Linked DNA regions of Drosophila melanogaster. The protein of the gene in region 3 interacts with the protein of the main gene of each other region in a pairwise test. Each region holds a gene or a part of one and is shown on either strand. Other genes may lie near its edges. The genes, in order: CG9173, salto, CG5445 and CG34396.

The links.
Region 1: the proteins of CG5445 (region 3) and CG9173 interact in a two-hybrid assay, tested with the Drosophila melanogaster proteins (one large-scale study listed by BioGRID).
Region 2: the proteins of CG5445 (region 3) and salto interact in a two-hybrid assay, tested with the Drosophila melanogaster proteins (one large-scale study listed by BioGRID).
Region 4: the proteins of CG5445 (region 3) and CG34396 interact in a two-hybrid assay, tested with the Drosophila melanogaster proteins (one large-scale study listed by BioGRID).

What each region holds. Positions count from the first base shown.
Region 1 is NT_037436.4:1,420,658-1,425,303, reverse strand, and holds CG9173 (uncharacterized protein), read left to right. Parts: upstream 1-1,832; 5' UTR 1,833-1,941; coding exon 1,942-3,243; 3' UTR 3,244-4,105; downstream 4,106-4,646.
Region 2 is NT_033778.4:12,301,997-12,308,005, reverse strand, and holds salto (salto), read left to right. Parts: upstream 1-1,736; 5' UTR 1,737-1,907; coding exon 1,908-1,944; intron 1,945-2,007; coding exon 2,008-2,075; intron 2,076-2,134; coding exon 2,135-2,477; intron 2,478-2,534; coding exon 2,535-2,786; intron 2,787-2,880; coding exon 2,881-3,041; intron 3,042-3,104; coding exon 3,105-3,484; intron 3,485-3,548; coding exon 3,549-3,878; intron 3,879-3,948; coding exon 3,949-4,183; intron 4,184-4,241; coding exon 4,242-4,444; intron 4,445-4,511; coding exon of another isoform or gene 4,512-4,548; exon of another isoform or gene 4,549-4,603; intron 4,604-4,669; coding exon 4,670-5,159; 3' UTR 5,160-5,462; downstream 5,463-6,009. Other genes in the region: CG17739 (uncharacterized protein), read right to left, coding at 1-5, 59-447, 541-718.
Region 3 is NC_004354.4:17,280,667-17,285,525, reverse strand, and holds the start of CG5445 (uncharacterized protein), read right to left. Parts: upstream 3,031-4,859; 5' UTR 2,899-3,030; coding exon of another isoform or gene 2,833-2,898; 5' UTR 2,682-2,832; intron 2,623-2,681; 5' UTR 2,551-2,622; intron 1,765-2,550; exon of another isoform or gene 1,712-1,764; coding exon of another isoform or gene 1,157-1,711; intron 1,095-1,156; coding exon of another isoform or gene 1,053-1,094; exon of another isoform or gene 1,026-1,052; intron 1-1,025. Other genes in the region: CG8661 (uncharacterized protein), read left to right, coding at 1,053-1,094, 1,157-1,711; CG8664 (uncharacterized protein), read left to right, coding at 2,833-2,898, 3,137-3,715.
Region 4 is NT_033778.4:21,095,945-21,101,978, reverse strand, and holds CG34396 (uncharacterized protein), read right to left. Parts: upstream 4,222-6,034; 5' UTR 3,868-4,221; coding exon 2,135-3,867; intron 2,072-2,134; coding exon 1,914-2,071; intron 1,765-1,913; coding exon 728-1,764; 3' UTR 526-727; downstream 1-525. Other genes in the region: Gar1 ribonucleoprotein, read left to right, coding at 4,748-4,937, 5,272-5,652, 5,710-5,852.

The DNA.
Region 1 (4,646 bases), on a different chromosome or scaffold from region 3:
GGGGTCGGGGGCACTGCCCCCCCCTGTTCTGTCCATCAGATATAAAAGGGGGACTTTGGCTTGTTGGTCCCCAGCGCTCCGTGGGAAATAGAACTAGCTTCAGTTCTTAGGTTATATTTCAAATTTTTGTTCAACTTAATTAGTTCAAATTTGAATTTGAATTCGAATTTCGCGCCCAACGAGCGCGCGGCCGAATGACGATCGCACCGCTGATCTGGCAACGCCAGTCTAACCAGCTCGTCGACTGCGAAAGGTTGGCAATGCTATCAGCTGTATTGTCTGATGCAGCTGATCTGATTTATTACCAGTTTACTGGATCACTCGTGAATTCCGGAACGACACCGTGACGCTCAGAAACGCGGCGCAAACCCCAGAGTGGATTTGCAGGTTTATGTTGCAGTTTACGGCTGACCGGACTCGTATATGACGAAATTCGCGCAGCGCAGCAAAAAGACGTGCGAAATACGCGGGACAATGGATGTGTGTGTGTGTGTGTGTGTGTCTATGTGGAAGGTAAACACATGTCTACTTTGAGGCACAGCAAAAAAAAAAAAATATATATGCAAGTGTCGATGATTTAAGTACATTTATAAGTAGTACGAGCAAAATACGAAATCTATAGCTAGATTGCTTCTTACAACTAAAATCAAGTTTATATCTCAAGGATGTGATATTGTAAGAGAATAGAATACGATTTTTCCCAGTGTGACTTCATCTTCAGCTTATTCCTACCCATCTTGGAGCTGCTGCCATTCATTAATCCACATAGAAATGCCAATGGCAGAGTGAGATGTTGATGGTGAGCTGGTACAGATGGAGATGGAGATGGTGAGGTGATGGTGACCAAAGCGAATGCAAACGAAGGCGGCTGAGGCGGCACAACAACAAAGCGGCCAAGAGGCCTATTAGCCACAATAAAGAGGCAGCCTCACCCCCTTTCGAAATCCCCAATGCTCATACCCCTGGAAATTCTATTATGCAGATGAATGGATGGATATGGGACTAACCATCCGACTGCCTAACTGACTGGGTGTTTGTGTGTTTGCCCCGCCAGATGCCATTACAATGTAAACCCAACAAAAGTTCATTCGGTGGACTTGATGCGGGCATGGATGCGGAGACGTCTTCATCTCATCCACGTACTTCTTCTCCACATATCCGAGGCAGCAGCACTTCCAGCCACCGCAGCGGAACAATTGATCAAATATCATAATTTATCAAATGACAATGCAACAGGCGGCGGCCTCTGAACGTTTACGTTCCCGTATTTGCTTGCCCCAATCCCCACACCAAAGACACCGATCTCCAATTCCCAAATCCCCCCAATCCATTCGAAAGCTACAACTTAATTTATTTGAACAATTTAGGTCTGACACAACAGCCATCGTTTGGCTCTGTCGTGTTCTTTGCGCTTATTTATTTCGATGGTCAGTCGGCTCGAATCTATTTAGCATAATTGCAGCTACGATCAGAACCGAGACCCGAGTCCCGAGATAAAATAATGCATTCTTGTGTGGGGTCTGTGTGTAATCCTAGATAGGGCCACCAGTGGGTCAGATAACCAAATTAAAACAGGCTAGGGAAAATATTGGGACAAACCGATTATTGTTCTATTATGGTAAACTTAGCCATGGCATTAGTTCCAATCGAAATGGGAAGTGCATTCTTCATCGAAGATTGTGCATTCAAATCAAATTGTGTGTCAAGTTTGCTCACAAATTGGTAGGTTTATGGATGCCAGATAGGTTGACAATACTTTTGTATTGGTTAGTTTATGAGCTTTCTTTTCATGGAATAGCCAAAGAATTCGATACAGTAGTCTGCGACTATATGGTCCATCAGAAATCTGTGTATAGCATCTACAATTTTTGTGTTTTGTCAAAAGTGAAATTTAAAGTGATACGTTTGCTGTCTCCTTACTTCATCAACAACCAAATTGCAATGGACAATTATGAGAGGGCCAGAAAACTGCAGGAGGAGGCGGGAGTTCCTCCTGGGGGAATCAAGCGGTGCTGCTGCAACTGCAGGAGAAAGCTGGATCCCTACCAACTGTTTGACGATAATGTGGAGGATATAGCCAAGAGCCTGGCGCAGATAATGCTGATCTGTGGCATCAGCACAAGCAAATCCAGCGCTGCCAGGTCGATAATTAAGAGGGCTTTCGTTTACCATGAACGACTGCGCACCAATTGTCCACCAAATCCGGCTACTGACAGTCGCTTGAATCGGGAGGACCTGCTCCAGGCTCTGCGACTGAAGTGCGAAATGGAACCGGTGGAGGCGATGCTCACCTATGCCATCATCAAGCGGGCCTTTAAGGCCTTCTATCACGGCAAGCCACCGGTGACGATCAGCAATCCCATAGTGGATGCGATGGCGGTGCACACCCAATATGCTGCTTGGATGCATGCGGCGCACAAGACATCCAGGATCTTCGACAACTACAAGGCGGCCTTCTTTTGGGCCCACAAGCACTACGAGAGGCAGATCAATCTGGTTTATGCAGCGCTGTATCAACGGATGACTACCAGATCGGATCCCCTCCTGGTGCCGGGCTGTCCTTGCAAGGGCTGTTCCAAGCAGGAAGTTCCCGGACATCCCAAGGCCGGCCAAAGGCAAATGATGAAGATCAAGCTGTCGGAGGGTGCAGATCTACCAGAACCCTGCATCATCTGTGGCTTGCAAGTTCCGCAAATGGATAAGGAGGTCAGGATGAAGAAGCCACCGCGTCCGATCATCAACCATGAGGTTAATCTACCCAGATGCCAGCAGTGCAATTCGCCCTTCCTCATCTGCGAATGCAACATCGATCAGTTGACGGGCGAGCAGTTTGGCGAATGCGGCCAAGACTCCTACAAGGTGAAGTGGTATCGTCTGGAGGAACCAGTGGCCATTTCCCAACCTGTTTCCCAACCGCTTGGCGAAGAGGAGCAAGATACCAGCTATGATGAAGCTGTGGAACCCCCAGAGGACTGGGACAATCACCATTGTCCCATCGACTGCAAGCACGACTCCTGCAGCGAGTCCTCGAATGTTTGCCACAGCACTTCTTCATCTGCATCTTCGGGCAGTGATTTTGCCACCTGTTCCGACGGCGTGGACAAAGAGGAGGATGTTGTGGCCAAGCTGGAGGATTATCTCAACAAACTGTGGGCCGAGGAGGTGGCTCAGAAGAGGAATCCATCGTATGTGCCGCGAACGATTCATCCTCCTGGTCCGAAGTGTATGAAGTGCAACGACTAATTTTGTACGTTTAAATTTTGGCTATATAAATTATTGAGTGATGAAAAGAGAGCTATTGTTGACCCTTAATAGCCAGAAACAAGTAGTCTAAGTACAGAACGTGTTTTCTCACCTCTGCTACCAAGTTTGGTTCAACGAGCTGCCACCATGCCACCATGCCACCATCCGGGCCACCCACTCCCACACCTGGGGAATCGATCGCCCACACGGGAGCCGGCGCTTATCACACGCCCACAGATCGCGTCTTGACAATGGCCACTTAAAATGCCATTGCCGGTTGTAATCGCCACTAAATTGCTGGCACCTCGGCTTATTCGCGGCTGGAGGACGGAATGGGACGTGGCATTCGATGGGATGGAGCTACTGTTGTCATCGCCGGCTGCTCCGCCCAGCAGCTCCCAGGAGCTTCCACATAAATCGCTGCCTTTATCTAAGCACTTGCATCTCGCGCTGGAACAGAGGCTCCTCCAAGCTGCACCACCAGGATGGTGCGGATCCGCGGATTCGGGCCTGTTCACGCTCCTCGCCGCTTATCAATCTCAGCTCATCTGCACGCAGAACAGAACAGAACCGAACTAAACCAAACTGCAACTAAATGGGCAAAAAGAACCCAAGTCGAAGAACATCTTCTGCGAAAAATAATTCCGCAACTTGTCACATTTTGTAAGATTCAAAGTCGCAGAGACAGGCACTAAACTGCAGACGCCTCTGCGCCAGGGATTCTGGGATGGGCCTGCAATGAAAGGAGTCCTTGACTGTCGGGATTTAACTATTTTTATAGGGTATTCGTAGATAAAGGGGCATACTCGAATGTTAACAGCTACATAAATATAATAATTATTAATGGCAACATATTGATCTTAATTTTATAGATGGTTTATTATTGGTTTAGATTTAAAACTTTGACTTTTTATCATTATCATTCCTGTAGTCGAATCACCCGTGTTTACCCTACATATTTTTGGCTAGGCCTAGACTTCACCCTCGAATTGCCGCCTGCATCTCCATCTGCCTGTCGCTGTGGCATGTTAAACTGGAGTCACATTTGCATATAGATTTATTTTTATGTCCACTGCCTTCGGATGGCTCGTGAACTATTTATGTGTGACGACGATCCAATCGCTTGGGGGAGCGATCTTTGGATGGATCCGCGATCGGTTCTTGCCCAAGAGTTGTGCCATTAAGCGATGCCCATTAAATGTTTGGAAATATTGGAATATCTCTAGATAATGCCACGTCTTGCCAAATTTCTAATTATGATATGCTCACATTGAGTTTCTCTATTAGCCCAGTTTTGATGCGTCTATGTCTGTCTTCCCATTCCAAAAAATTTTTTTTTTTGCTTCGGCATGTGTGTGGTAAACAAAGCTCTCACACTCAATTGAGTGCCACTTTTCGGCTTC
Region 2 (6,009 bases), on a different chromosome or scaffold from region 3:
GTAAGCTGAAGTAAGGAGGTGTTAATACCATTTCAATAATGAGTTAAAAGAGTCCCACCTCATATTTGGCCTCGTCACAGGCACAGCACGGATCCACGATGCTGGGCTGGGTGTCAATGTCGTCCACCTCCTCCTCGCACATACGCTTGGTAAGGAAGCCATCATCCATGAACCACACATCTCGATGCTGCATCACCGTAGCCCTCAGCAGGATGCAGCCCTGTCCCGGACTCGATGGAGCCACCCAGAACACATCCACGCGTGTCTTCACGTTCGTGTTGGTATTCTCGACAAGATTTGGGCAGCGCGGACTGAAACGGGTCTCGGCGAGATCGGCGATCTCCCAGGTGCCCAGGGCATTGGCGTCACCATCGCCGTCACCACTCTCCAAATCCAGGGCCAGCATAAAGCTAATGAAGGACAAGCCAGAAAATGCACTGAGGCTAACTGAAAACGAGCAGCGAAAGATTAGAGAATTGAAAGAAAAATCTAGAAATTTGTAAATTTAATTTAATTTAATGCTTAATTTAATGCACTCACCATTATACCTTTGACCGGGCACATAACTCTGCGTATTTCCGTTTACGGACAGCACATAGTTATCATCCACCGGTGACTTGGCTGCTGTGACTCCCGGTGGGACCCTAATGCAGCCCTCGATCCGGGGAATAACACCCACTAATGCGAGAAGAATAGTGAAACCTTCCAGAGCTTTCATTTCAAAGAGCTGCAATGCAAAATTGAGTGGGAATACAAATTTACAATCATTTGATGCAGCCACGTGGTTGTGGGGGAAAAAACTATTTCTGGCCAGCACTTAATTGTCTTAATTATCCGCATTGGTATCGAATGTCAATGGCAACCAATGGAGCCTACTTCCAGTTTCAAACTGAACTTGAATTCGTAGAAATAGCCTTCAATTGAATGACTTTGCGTGATGTCACACATAGTGCATATTGCTATTTTCGCAGACACTTTCCATTTCCTTTGAGATCCAAATTATGCCAGCTCAATTGCCATGCGGAACTTGAACTAGGCGGGTTGTTGGTTGTTTACCCCTTGAAAATCGGATCGCATTGCGTATATACAATATATAGTCTGTACTATATAGACCGTCTACGTCACTGATTAAATTCAATTGAAAAACGCGCCGACTGTCTACAGCGAATTCGAATACAAGGGGGTGACAAACGTCCATTTCCCATGGATCTAAATCATTAAAGTCACTTTTAGGGCTTCTTCACCTCAGTACTGCACTTATATTGTAGCACCCACTTTCACTAGCACATCATGTATGTTAATCCAGTTGATTAAGTTATTTTGAGAAAATAAACTAATAGCAAGGTGGTACAGATTGTTTTTTCATACTCTTGTTACTCAGTATTGATGGATCGTAAATGAAACAATCTCGAAATATATGCTTTTAGAGGGAAATCCGAACTAAGAACTTACTCGGTGGACGCACGAACAGCAACTGAATGCAAATTTCGCCGAGTCGATTATTGGATGGACGATGTGCATCATTCGGGACCGACGAATGGATTACATGGAGAACCTCAGAGAGGGAAAAACTGCTCTCTACTTTTCCCTCCCATTTAGCTTAGTTTCCGCTTCTTTTGCAGATTCGCATTTGTTGATAGAAACCATTAGTTTTCATACGCTCATTCTAAACAAACAGACCCCAAAAACACCGGGTACATTGGAACTGAACAAGTGTGCTCTGAGTTTGAATTCATGTTACTTCCACGAACCACCTCGTTTGGATTGGTCAGAAAGCATTTTTGTACCATTTACACTAGACGTAGTTCAACTGGAAATATTTAGAAACAAATTTTCTATACTATTTTTTCCTCATTTTGAACACAAAAATCGTTTACAAAAAAGCGTTGATTTCCGAAACTTTAGATATGAATTCTTCCAGCGTGACGCCGCGTTCAGTTCGTAGTAAGTACATGTACCTTGAACGCTATACGAATGTGTGCTTCAAATGCTCGTTATCCTTGTTAGGTAACAAAGCATTCTTGCTGAGGACAGCTGGAAAGGCGGAAAAGCAAGCCTCAGACAAAGCTACATGGGTGAGTGAGATAGAAGAAAAGGGTTTAGTTTTTTCAAATGCTTTACATCCCCGTCCCAGTCTCGCACTTCTTCTTGTGGTGGCGTCTTCTCTACTCCTCCCACCCAGAATGGCGACGGAAGCCCAAACAAAGGTAGGCTCAGTCACATTCCAAATAGGCGTGGAGCGAGTCGGTCGTCTATCCATTCGCGAAAAACTTCTCTGGAACGGGTTACTTCTTCGACGAAAGCGCGCCCGTGTGTCAGTACGTATTCGTTGCCCAATCGACGGGTCGAGCCCGAGCATAAAGTAGTTGAGCCCGATCGGAAAACTGATATCGATGAGTTGAATCCCCCCAAGCGGAACGTGGTTCCCATAAAGACGCATGCCCAGTCAGCACAATTGGTTAAGTCAACGACATGCGGTGGGTATCGCGAATATTTGAAACGTGGTCCAATTCTCTGATTATTGCCGTCCACAGAACCTTATCAAAATGTAAAGAAGCCTGAAAAGATGTCGCATCGCCGTGTCCTGGAGATGAACCGGATGCGGGTCTTTGATACGCAGAAAAAAAAACTGGAGAACCTGCAGTCCGAGTTTATGCACAAGATCCGGTTAATGGGTTCGGAGCTCCGGAATCAAGGGGTCTTCAAGTTTGTGGGTCTGACTGTAAACGATGAATGCAAGCTTGTGGTCCACCATGATGATCTACTTCGATTGCCCAAGAGTATTCGTAAGTTCGTTTTGATTTTACGTCTTCGATTGAATGAATTGTTATCCTTGAATTATCCTTCTTTCGCTTACAATTGCATACTTTTATTTTCTAGCCGCCGAAAGTATGAATGACTTGAAAACCAGGTGTCGTGCGATTGTAGATCAGGGGGTTTTGTTAATCTACGACCATATACCAAGAATTCAGAGGGCTAAAAATGATCTCGAGGCTAGTGAAAAGCGTGAGGAAACTCAAAAAAAGTTGTCTAACCTAGTGGTATGTTTTTGTGCAACCGCTATGATGCACTAGCAATGTGAAACTATTTTATTGTGTCTCCAGGAAGAAAAAATGAATTTAATCGTCGAGGAGATCGAACAGTTGTGCGGTGCATGCTCCAAACAAGAGTCACCCAACAAAAGTCTCTATCGCGAGATGTCCGAGTTGCGTTCCCAGAAACAGGCCATGGAGGTTCGTTATTTTGACGCCCAGAAGGAGCACACTGAACAGATGAACCAGTTGCGGATCGAGCTCGATGCCAAGCTGAAACAGGAGCTGGCCAGTCGAGATCAGATCATTGTAGAGCTGAGAAAGAGCCTGCGGCGAAGCGAGGATATGCTCAGTGAGCAGTCCATTCGATTGGCCGAGAACAATTCCAAGCTATTGACCGAGGATTCCACCATCGAGGTACTGCGCTCCGAGGTAGCCAAGCTCAAGACTGTGTAAGTTAACTGGTCATCTCGGCAGATGATGGTTCTTACAGATCTTTCCTTATATCGTATCTAGAAAAGAGCAAATGGTTAAGCGTCTGGAAGAGGCGGACAAAGGTCTGGAGCGGGCTCGAAATTCCGTCGATAAGAACTTGAAACACATCGATTACCTGGAGGGCGAACTGAAGGAGGCCCGTGAGCTCATTGTCCATCTGGAACAGCGTCCAGATGCCATGGACGCGGGAGTTAAAGAAAAGGATTTGATCATTGCCGATTTGAAACTGCAGCTGCAAAGTCTCGAGCAGCATAAGAAGGTCATGAACAAACAGGTGGCCAATACAATAAAGCAGCATGCCGACTTTGAAGAGCTGGGTGGAAACTATAAGGAAGCTCTACAGCAGATAAGGTAAACTGCTTGGTTAACAGTATCATAGATTATGTATATTGATTAACATATCTCTTGCTTGGATAACCAGCGATCTAAGGGAGACCCTAAGTGTTACCAATGCCAAATTGGAGATGCAATCCAAGCTCGAAGTGCAGCTGCGCAAGGAAGTGTCCAAGATGCGCGAGCAAATGGTTATCGATCAGAAGTTGCTGAACGCTCGCAGCGAATTGATCGCAACACTGCAGAAGAATGAGGAGGATAGCCGCACCAAACTAGACCAAATGTACTATCAAGTTAGCGAGAAAGAAACGCTTATCAATCAGGTCCGCCGAAAAAGGATGTGGCTAGCCTCGCTTATGCTTATCCTTCTTCCTCCCGCAGGTAAACAACAAGCTGAGTTCGAAGGAGGAGGAGTTCTATAATCTCTACGGGACCCTCACGCACAAACAAAGGGAAGTGAGGAGGCAGGAGCATATCATCAAGTTGTTAAAGGAGCAGAATTCGCGGGTATCATTGTTGCGAGCCAATCAGGACGAGCGGAATGCCACGATGGAGGAGGAAATCAAACATCTCAAAAACGCCCTGTAAGTTCAATACGAGTTTGAGTAAAAGTTCGCCAGCTTGCTATAATTTACACAAATCCCGTGGTAGATATTCAATAACATTAGGGCCATGTACCGTTGAATGAGGTAAATGTCAATTGAAGTCCTAATATCAACTGGACCAGTTTCCAAAATATTTGAGTAAGTGATAGCAAAGCGGCGAGCTTTATGCTTGGAAAGACAAATAAAAGTATTAAATGGTTCTAGCCGTAATTATGCCAAACTAATAGTTGGCAATATGGGTGAACATTTTTTTGAAGTTCTGCCGGCTGGCGAAATGGAGAGCATTAGAAGCGGTGGCCACCCTGTGCGTGTGGACTCTTCCTGCAAGTTTCTGCAAGAGCCCAATCTGCAAGAGCCCAATCTGCAGGAACCCAATCTGCAGGAGCCCAATCTGCAAGACGACACTCTGCAGGAACCCAATCTGCAAGAACCCAATCTGCAAGAGCCCAATCTGCAGGAACCCAATCTGCAAGACGCCATTCTGCAGGAGCCCAATCTGCAGGAACCTAATCTGCAAGACGCCACTCTGCAGGAGCCCAATCTGCAAGACGCCACTCTGCAGGAGCTCAATCTGCAAGACGCCACTCTGCAGGAGCCCAATCTGCAAGAGCAGGAGATGTCCCAACCACGTGGTCGCATCTTTGAGCCACTGCAGCATCAACTGCTCGACGGCTTAATTCGCCCCGCCATTTAGTGCGCTTGCGCTATCAACTACAACATCCAAATATTCGTCCTACAGATCCTGCGCGTCCACAAAAAGTCGCAAATTCCCTGCCACCCTCCTCTGCGATTGCGAAGACACCAGCGATCCCAAGACCAGCGTTAAACATCCAATTTGAACTACAAGAACCCAACCCAAATATCAACCCAACCCAACACATCCCAAAGGAGAACGCTTAGCATGGAAATTCTTAAGATGAACAAACCAAATTTGTTGTAACCGTTGGCCAAATGGCATTGTTTTTTGTACCCATACATATGTAAAAAGTAATGGCAGAAATCTGGTTAAGTCTCGTTTAGGGCGGCGGTTTGATCAATCGACTAGCTTCGATTGGTTTAAGAATCTGAAACTGGCACAATTAATTGAGATGATTTGGATTTTTAGGGCAGGGTCGAAGTTGCAGATACATTTATGCGTTCTTTTGCATTTAAATATTTAAAAATACTGGTTATTCAGGAAGTATGCATGCTTTTTCGTTATAAAAATCGTGAAAGCACGCATACTCTCAGATTTTCAAACTCAGTTTTTGCCGCTGCGTGGATTCCGTAGGTTTCCTAGTAGATTATCTGGTACATGTCGTTTAGTCGCATCAAGAAGCTCGTTAAGAACGGTTGGGGTTTTTAGTAGTCCAGATTGTGTGTGTTCCATAAAAGGTACCCATAAGTTTAATGAATGTGTGGTGCTGGTTGCAGATCAAATAGTGCGTTTTTGAGTGAGATAAAAAGAATAAAATAATGAAATTGGTCCCACAAACTTTGGCTTTATGTATGTACCTTGATCCCGGCCAATTATGATAAGACGGCAGACCACAAGTGAAGCATCC
Region 3 (4,859 bases):
TTTTTTTTTTTAATATGTGATCAATGAGAACATTGATGACTAATGCTATACCGTGCACCTCTTATGTTCGCCAATGAAATTATCGTTTCCTGGAAACAATCAGACGTATTGTAGATATGAAAGGCGAATAAGTTAATGCTAAGCGTGTATAAATCCTTATCGATACGGTCCCCTCTATGAGACGATTTTCGTATTTCGAACCTTCCATCTAATCGGCCAGCTTATCAGATATGGCGCTTCTCACGTGGCTAGCAAATCAAATCGTAGGGCACTTCAATGAAGTCAACTGACTTTTGTCCAGCGATGATGACGACGTAAGACTTGCGGTGAAGCAAACTATGTCATTCATGGGAATCCGTATGTGAAATACGAATCGAATGACCGGCGATTGTAATTGAAACTTGTGAAAATGGTGTGATTAAAGGCCACCGTGCATTTAATCTGCAAATCGCCCTGAGGCAGAAGAGTATAAACAATTTGGCTTGAGTTGGTAGACTTGTCAAAACAGATTTAAATTTAAATATTTTCAATTATTTTATCTTTACCATAATTTTGATAAGTTATAAACTTAAGCCCAAAAGTAGGCAAATACATTTTAATATGTGAAAGTAAAGCTTTGTATGCAGGTAAGTCAGCCCATAAGTATGATTTAAAATCGAACTGTAATTCGATTTGTTGTTATAGCGTTATCAATTGGGTTTTTTGTATTTTATAGATAAATTCGGTGTCCAAATGATCAATTGGCTTAATGCGTTATCAGAGCACCAATGTGACTGGCTCAAGTTCAATATAGTCTTAACCGCTTTTCTTAACACAAAAAAGGTATGCAAAAAACTAGGATATATAAATATCATCAGTACGTATACTACCAATATAATATAATATCCGTGCAATCCTAACATTTAGCTCTAATAATAGAGTTATGAACCTAGATATCTATTATATTTCTGTTTGTACAAGACCTACCTGACCACTAAAGGGTTAAAAAACCAAGCGATATAAAAGGGCCGAATCGGAAACGGTTTTCATAGTTGCTTATAAACAACGACAGCATGAAGTATACCATTCTTATTTTGGCTTTGGGCCTGTTTTGCGTAAGTTTTGCAATGAAAAATACAAATTATTTGCGCAATGGTAGCAAATATTTAAATTCCAGGTAAATGCATTGGTGGCTCCTGTTCCCAGCGCCCTGGACTCTTCGTCAGAACTGGACGATGTGACCGATGGTAGCTTGGAGGTGGAGGACTTTGGCGTGCTGAGTACGACCTACAAATCCCTAAAGATCGCTCTGCGAAGCATCAAGGGACTCAATTGCATAATCAAGTGGGTGGCGGGCATCAAGGACAGTGCGACCCAATTTAACACGGACGTGGTCGTGTGCGGCGTCACCGCCAGCAAGGATGTGACCAAATTGATCAACGCCAACAATAAGATCCTCAGCACTTGCAACGACCTCATCAATCTGAGGTCCAACACTTGCCCCCAAACGGACGACGAGGAGACGAAGGTCTCTGGCAGCTGCTTTGTTAAGACTCTGCGCAAGGTGTGGTCCCTAAAGAAGCAAGTGGACAATGCCATCAAGCTGGCCAAGAAGATCCCGCAAACCGGTCCCAATGCCGTCGCCTGTGTCTCCGATGCCGTCAACACCCTGACCACCTACTACACCGCCTTTCCCCAGAACATCATCAGCTGCTCCAAGCTGACTTCTTAGGGGTTTAGTGCCCGCAATTGATTCGAGCATTCAATAAAAATCCGTGTTATCACAGTTTTTGCTAGTTATTTAATTTTGTTAGAGGAGAGAAAGCCTTTTTATTACTATTCGTAACTAAATTTTTATAACCGTTACTCGTAAAGTAAAAGGAAGCGTTTTCATATAGTCTTGATTAGGATCAATAGCCGAGTCGATCTGGTATATCGTATATATGATATTTTTTATATTTTTATTAGTCTTGCGAATTTCCATCGATTTGCAAAAAGTATTAAGTGGAATATAACAAGTTGCTCTATAACATACCTATATTTGTATATTTGTACAATTTATACAATTTTTAGTCAGAGTAAATTAATAGTAATTCAATTATAATACAAATTTATATTTTATTGAGTACAGAATAGTTAGATAATTGTTTAGTTACTGTTAACCAAATGTCTGCACCCCTAAACGAAAACCAGTGCGAGTGTACTTTCTATCACTATTGAATATTGATAAAAATGGAAGTGTGACAAAAACAATATCTCAACAGATATGATCACCTTAACCTAGGGCCATGAGACAGGTTTGAAGATAAAAGGCTCTCTCTTTGGTATAATTAGTTTTTTAATATACTCGATACTTCTTTTACTGTAATGCTCATGCTTATTTATAAATTAGATTTAAGCCACTTTAAATATTAAAAAGCTGTCACTCAGACGTTGACAACGTAGATAGGTGACTTTTCCAAGGGTTTTGTTTTGTTAAATAAAATACCCATTGATTTCTTTGAGCGATTATGCATCGAATGCATCGCGTCGATATATGGGAGTGCTTGCGGTGGGTGGTGTCGGACTTACCTGAGGAATCCCTGTCCAATCTGGACAATCTGGCTATATGACTATCTCGCTATCTTCCTTTGTGTGTCCACGCTGCATAGATAATGTCAAATTAGTTTCGGACTTTGTGTGGTGGTTTAATTAAAGCATACATATCGCCGGCACATTGGTTTTCCAAAGTGTATGTGCAAATCGAACCTCCGAATCGCCACTTAACTGATATGGCTCCGGCCAATCGTCTATATAAACAAACCCCACGGATCGGTCAGCAAACATTCGCCAGTGAAACCATCCACCAGTAACATGAAAGTACTCAACGTCTGCCTCTTGGTCGTGGCCTCTGCCAGCTTCCTTCTGGCCACAGCGAACGTAAGTCAGACAACCTTATGAAGAACTACTAGCAAATACAGTCAAGTGCCATCGTTATTAGAGTTTGAAAAAAATCCGAAAAGTGCAGCAAACAAAGATTTAATGAACAGAATCGTCGCTTAAAGCAAATATATTTTGTTCAATTTTTTTTCCGAAGTGCTTTTAAAACGTGTGCTACTTGAAGTCAAATATTTTGACAGTTATTCCAAAATCGAATCGTATTCCTAACTTGTTTTAGGCCAGTGCCGTAGGTGCTTTCGAGGACTTCGAGCCCTACACCGATGCCGAGCTTAAGGATCTCTACGCCGCCGAGTTGATGGCAATGGAGGATGAGTTCATGGGCGTCGAGCAGTTCGGCTTCATTGGATCGTGCCGCAAGATTCTGTGGGCCGGATACAAGGGCATCAACGGCACCAAGTGCATCGTCGAGGAGGTGGCCAATGTGCTGCTCACCTGCACCAACTACGTAGACGACCTGAGCACCTGCACCGGCGATATTCCCAAGGATATCCAGGCCATGCTGAACAATGTCAAGCAAATGATCATCACCAGCAACAAGATCATCAACATGAAGTCCGAGCTGTGCGCCTCCACCTCCAGGAGCGTCGTCTCCTCCACCAAGAGCTTCATGCGTTGCACCCTGAAGGCCTTCTACGCCACCATGTCCCTTGTCCGCCGCATGAACACATTGATCAAGCAGGGCGCAGCCCTGCCCTTCAACACCTCTTCCTGCTACGTCGATGCCACCAAGAAGGTGGTCGACGGCTGCAACGCCTTTGTGCCCAACATCAATACCTGCATAGCCAGCATGACATAAGTTGGTAATAAAACCATGAAATTATGAGCAAAGCAGATGCTTTCTTCCTGATTTGGGAGTTCGGGGTGTGACAACATATCTTATACACCTTTCTAGCCTGTATAGTGTCTCAGATCACGAGATACCGACGGACCGACAAACATGGCTTTTTTTTGCTGTTTCAAACTTTTAAACGAATGTGACACATACAGAGCTTTGGAAATCGATGTGCTCATTATTACTAACTGACTTATTTGACTTTAACCACCTTCAACCTTATGTTCTATACCCATAAAAAAGGATGTTATATGTTCAAAAATCTTAATTCTATTGCCAATAGACAGACTTCCTGGATATTCTGTACTCGATGATTCAAATGATGGGCGCCAGCGGTATCAATGGGTCTGGACTCCAACAAAAGCAACAAATAGAATATGAAGGGAGTAAACACGTTACTCGTAGAGTAAAAAGGTATACTAGATTCGTTGAAAATGTATTGGTCTCCGACCATGTCAAGTATACAATACGTCGATACGTTCCGACCAAAATTCCTTAGCCACACCGAGTTGGTTAGCGCGGTGGCTGGAAATTTTAGGTATAAAAATTGATTTACAAAATTAAGAAAAACTTACCACACCGCCAACGGCAAAGGAAAACATGGGGCCCACGATGCCACGCCCACTCTACCGCCCACAAGCCGCCTAAAACTGCCACGCCCACACTTTTGATCAATTTTTCTTATTTTATTTTCCAATTCCTATCGATATCCCAGAAAAATAATAAAATTTCGCGCTCGCATTCACACTAGCTGAGACACGGTTATATAATTATCGGGGAACTCGACTAAAGCATTCTCTCTTTTGTTTTAAATTATATATATGTATTTATTGTTTCATTCGTTCGCTTTTTCATTCATAGATGTGTTGTATGTATTCGTGTATTTATATTATTAAAAGTAATATTGTTTGAGCCGCGTATATAAAAACAAATAACAATAAAAAATGCTTAACCAATCAATTAAATTAATTCCAGTACTAAATAAATTCAAGCCAAGTCACAAAAAAAAATGTCAAAAAATAGAGAGTATAAGTGATTAAAATACAAAACCGAAATAGAACTTAAGCACAGCAGCTAAGATTAGATATATACGTTTGATTCGCCTTGA
Region 4 (6,034 bases), on a different chromosome or scaffold from region 3:
AAGGCGATGTAACCCGTCGACCGAACCGCACGCTGCCAAAACAACAACTGGGCGTCCAACAGAAGCCGTCAACTCAGGCGAAGTGCTCGTAGCGGAACGGAATGGAAACGGAACATGCACACGAATGCCAGCCGAAGCAGGAGTGCGAAGCATGCCATCCTGTCGTGTGTCAGCGAAAGAGAGGCAGAGAGAACCACAACTCGCTCTCAATGGGAATGGGTCTCTCCCTCTCTCCCTCTCTCTCTCTCTCTCCGCACAACGCCTCCTGTGGCTGCTTCCTCTTCCATTTCCTACGAGCGACAGATGTGCAGCTGCCGACTGCGACTGCATTTGGATTCGCGCCCCCGACTCCCTGTTACTGGGATTTTGGGATGCATTCCCGTACAAAGCATACGCATCTGGCAATTCGATTCCGGATTGAGCAAAAAACCACGCTGATAACAGGATAATAGAGTGTTGAAAAATTATACAACTTTATGATTATGATCCTTAAGCGGAATTTACAACAATTAAAAACATCAATTTGCGTTGTCAACTCGCGCGCTTTATTTCATTAACATTAGACTTATGCTACGATGATGGTGAGTAAAATTAAATAACAAATAAATGAATATAGAGTTTCGCGTTACGGTAAATTCGATTGAAATTGCCTTGTCATTTTTGAGGTTTCTTACACGTTAACTTTGTCGGTTTTTTTTTTGTTTGGAGGCGGAAGATCCCAGGGATTCTAGAAAAACCTGTGCTTTTTCTTCTTCTTGTTCTCCCCCTCCGCCGGCGGCTGGGGATCCACGGAAACCTGACGCCTGGGCAGCAGAGGTGGCGGAGTAACATCCCCAGCTCCAACAGCATCGGCTCCAACTCCATTAGCATCCACTCCATTGGACGCCGGCGATAGAGGACGCGGTGCGCGCAGGATCGAGGTGAGTGGTGGCACCGGGGAGTGGCCATTGCCATTCGCCTCCTGGCCATCCTCCTCGATCCTGTCCAGTCGCGAACCGTGCACCGAGGCAAGCTCGGAGGGAGTCTTCACCTGGGAGCCGCCCTCATCACCAAGCTCGCTGGTCATGTTCATGCCAATGGTGGCGCCCACTTTGGCGCTGGCCATTTTGAAGTGATCGCTCAGCTTGATCTGCACCACATTGATGAACATGGAGGTCAGGGCCAAGCCGAACATCAGATAGATCATGCTGACCATTACGTAGAAGGGATTACTGGGCACCAGGTCGCCGAACCCAATTGTGGACATCGAGATGAACACGTAGTAGAAGGCATCCAGTGGAGTCCAGCTGGGCTCCATCATTAGAAAGCCGAAGGATCCTAGGAGGATGTACGTAATGAGCAGCAGCGAGGCCACCGACACTGGCAAATTGAACTCGTCGTCCACCTCGAAGGTCTCTGGATAGGGTGATGTGGGTGTCTCCGGGTGCGAGGTGCCCACCGATCTTGCGGCCTCGGCATCCGCCTGCGACTCCTCATCGTTCTCTGGCGCAGAGTTGCTGAAGAACATGCTCGGCCTGCGGATGGCCATGTCGTACATCGTATTGAAGCCTGTCATGGCGCTCCGGATCTGCTGCTGCTTTCGTATCCGGCGGCAGGAGCGCGTGTAGTACATCCGTCGCACATACACCCACAGGAACTTGACGCAGCGCGTGAATAACTTGCCCAGATCGGCCAGCACGATCAGGAACATGGGGATGCCGATGATGGCATAGACGATGGTCAGGGATCGACCCATGCCCGTCTTTGGAGTGATGTGGCCGTAACCTGGAAAGGAAGAGAAGAAGGCATGGGAGTTAATAAGTTAAATATGACTAACTAAAAAAAGAACCTAAAATGGAAATATGCTCATATATAAGAACTAACGAAAGGATTTAGGAGTTTTGGATGGTTATGGGTCCATTGTAACCCATTACCTATAGTTGTGATCACGGTCCAACAGAAGATGAAGCAATTGACAAAGTTCCAGGACTTTTGGCCCGGATAGCGGCGTAGTCCCAACTCGGCTAAATTATTTAGTTCATCCTCGAAGCTGCGCAGCTTCTGGCGGGCAAGAGACTTCCAGTCCTCCTCTCTGGCAAAGATACAAATGAATCACTCACAGAACTGGGCTACCACTTGGCACCATTGGTACTACCTCATGTTGTGGCTGACGTCCCACAGTCGGTCTATGAAATCCCGCTTCACCTTGCGCACCTCGCACTTGTATATATTCTCCGCTGCTCCTTCCGTGTACCGGAACAGGAGTCCTCCGAATCCCAGAAGCATAGCCATGCAGATGAGATAGGCAATGCACCTGTTGCGTAGCTGACGCAGTTCCTTCACCTTTTGGGGATAGTCCAGCTTGAGGCGTTTCCATTCATGCCGGGCTTCTAGGCTGAAACTGTACAGCAGACCCCTGGAGGCCAACTTCTCCAGTGGCAATTCTGTGGACAGATCTGTGACATCTTCGCCCTTTGCCTGAATCTTCTTCTTTCGCCTAAACAGATTTTTCAGCCGCTGCCATAAGGTAACTTTGGGTTTCGCCTCTGAGATGGATTCCTCTGGCAACAAGGGTTGATCCCCAAGAGATTTTGGTTCCGTATCAGCTTCATTTGTAGTAGTTCCCTCAAGGAGCTCTTGAGTTACCTGTTCCTTTCTTTCCAAACTGCCCGATCGCTTGGGTCTTAGTGGACGCTCCAAACTGGAGCTGCGCTTTTGAGGCTTCTCTTCCTTATCCGCTAATCTCAAGCTGTGACTGCGACGCACTCCCTCCGCCGTCAGGATTTGCTCCGCCAGGGCGGCCTCCGCTTTTGCCGCCCGCTCAGCGGCCTCCATGTACTTTTGCATCAGCTCCGACTGCTGTTCTGCCTCCGAGATGCGGGGCTTTATCACCTCGTCTCTGGACTCGCCCACCTCCAAGTACTCGTGCTTCCGGAGGATCTCCTCCCGTTGCTCCGGAGTCTTGGATCGTCGCTGTGGTCTCACGGGCGACAGGGAGTTGTTGCGACTCACAGACAGCCTTTCCGGTGGTTTTGGAGCTGTCGACGCCGATGGCGGCGGTGGAGGTGCGCCGCGGATTGGGGCTGCCACAAAGCCCTGGGGAATCTTAGGTGCTCGGGGCCGCGGGTGAGTCTCCTCCGTCGCATCGGCATCGGAGGAGCTGAACTGGGTGGAGGACTCATCGTAGCCGCTACTTCGATTGCGACCCCGAGTCTTGGGCGCCTCGTGTCGCTGCAGACGCAGGCTGTGGATGAGGCGGCGCCGTTCCTCCTCGTCCTGCGGCAGCTGGATGCGATCGCTGAGCTTGCGGTAGCTCTGCAGGAGGCGCTTGCGCTCCTCGTTGTCCAGCTGCTGGCGATGGCGCATCTTGTGCTCCCGCTTCTCGCGCTCAAAGAGCCTCTTCTCGGCCTCGAAACGCCGTCGTTCGTCCTCGAAGCGCTGCAGATTCTGCTCCAATCTGCTTAGCGTATCCTGTGTCTGGCCAAGATTAGGAATGGGCCTTTGCTGCTGACTACTGCTGCCGGTGGTCAGCTCACTCTCGCTGGACTCCTCCTTGTGCCGCGGCGAGGAGAGGCTGCGATGCTTGATCAGATGATTGGCATCCGGACTACTCAGCTTCTCAGCCTCCCGTGGCTGCGATTGACTACGCGCCGAGGAGCTGGCGAAGGACTTGTCCCGCTTTCGCAGGATCTTGCTCTCGTGGGCGGACATCGAGCCGGGTGGCCTGATCTGCATGCGCACCATCTGAGGTGATGGATCAGGGAGGGCATCCGGACTGGCATCGTCCTGGGGCAGGGCGTCTCCAGTGACGGGCGTCGGTTCCCGGTGGCTGCGACCCAGGCGCCTTCGATGGCGCTGCTGCTGCCTGGCGTCCATCGGCTGCTCCATCTTGTCCAGCCGCAGTCGTGTGCTACTTTCGCGATCTATCTTTGTGCTCGTGCTCGTCATTTAGCCATCTATTAATCTATTTTTAACTGCCCAACGAGGCGTTCATATTCCACATATGAAAATATGCCTCGGGTAATTATATCACTTTCGATTGCAATTTCGTATTATATGTATGTATTGTGCACTTTCTGAAACTTTTAAAGTCTGCACTTGTCCGAAAATTTTTGAAATTATTTTGCTATATTATCTATTTGCATATAGAATTTTATGTATCTGCTTCTTTCGACGTCGCGACACGATCGAATAGATTTAGCTTCTATTTCTCGCTTCCTCGTCCACGGCTGGCATCCAACTGCTCTCAGCAGTTGGAGAAAATTCAAATATTCATTTTCACTTTGCTTGTCTATATTTTTGGTAGATGTCTCAACAGCTGTTCGGCTATAGATATCTATATATATATATATCTATAATGCATCCGATGATGTTTTTGATGATTCTCTCTTACTCAATGTTTTATGTTCTCTTAGTGAATATTTAATGCTTATAAAAAAAGCACCAGGAATTTGTCTTAGTTAAACGATCTTCATTAAAACTATTCATATGCATAAAAAAATAACTGTTTTTAAAAAAAAAGACTAAGAAATTAATAATCAGGTCGATTGTTAAAAATAGTTTTAAATAATTTTATTGAAATAGAAGTTTCAAAAAATCCGCCCCTTGTGCCTAGTGTGACCGTATAATATACAACCGTATATACTGAAACACATGGCCGTGGCTATCGATAAGTCGATAACGAAATTTGAATTTCTTCCGTCTCTAAATATTTTGGTTGATCGGAACGCGCACGTGTTTTTGCGTTCAATTTTAATAATATTTGAAAATGGGATTTGGTAAACCTCGTGGCGGCGGTGGCGGCGGCGGAAGAGGCTTCGGTGGAGGCGGAGGCGGAGGAGGACGAGGATTTGGTGGAGGTGGAGGTGGACGAGGAGGTGGCGGAGGACGCGGAGGTGGCGGCGGATTCGGTCGAGGTGGAGGTGGACGTGGTGGCGGCCGTGGAGCCTTCGACACTGGTAAGTGAATGAAAGTCGCCAACTATTCCTATAACTAATCATCCAAACTAAGCTAGCCTGTGAACTAAGGCTAACTACGTCACTTAAAACAAGCAGTTAATACAGATTGTGCGAATAGAATTACAATAACCACGTTGTTCTCTCAAATTTTGAATAGCCAAGCCGTTGTAGGCTATAATCATGGGCTATATATATAAATATATTAGCTAAAAACACATCTGGAAGTCTCCTATAGGTATACGCTGTCTTAAATGCTTGCTATGTTCAGGCAAATTGCCAAATACTCATTTCCATTTTGTCACTTTAATAATATATCTTATTTTTTTAATTGTAGGTCCACCAGAGAGAGTCATCCCCTTGGGCAACTATGTTTACTCCTGCCAAAACGACCTTGTGTGCAAAGTTGATATTCAGGATGTTCCCTACTTCAACGCGCCCATTTTCCTTGAAAACAAGGAGCAAGTAGGCAAAATCGACGAAATCTTTGGAACAGTTCGGGACTACAGCGTGTCCATCAAGCTGTCGGACAACGTCTACGCCAACAGCTTCAAGCCAAATCAGAAACTGTTTATCGACCCTGGAAAGCTGTTACCCATCGCCAGATTTCTGCCGAAACCTCCACAACCAAAAGGCGCCAAGAAAGCCTTCACAAATAACCGAGGTGGAGGCGGCGGTGGCGGTGGATTTGGAGGCCGAGGTGGCGGCCGCGGAGGAGGTAAGATAGTGAATTTCATGAGTGCACCCCAAAGTCCTAACTTGTGTTTATCAACAGGTGGTCGCGGTGGTGGCGGCGGACGAGGTGGAGGCGGATTCCGAGGAGGTGCTGGTCGCAATGGAGGAGGTGGCGGCGGCGGCGGTTTTAACAGAGGACGAGGAGGCGGTGGCGGCGGCGGCGGTGGTCGGGGTCGGTGGTAGTTTTCAGTATCAGATCCTAATCAAAACATTTAAAGAAGTGTACAATCCAATTGTTGTACATGTCCAAATAGTTTCTAAGCAAAACCTCATCATTTGGGTATTGTTCGCTGACCAATCAATCGAATATTGTACCATAAATGATACTAAAATAAATTTCCTACAAATTTACAAACATGATATAA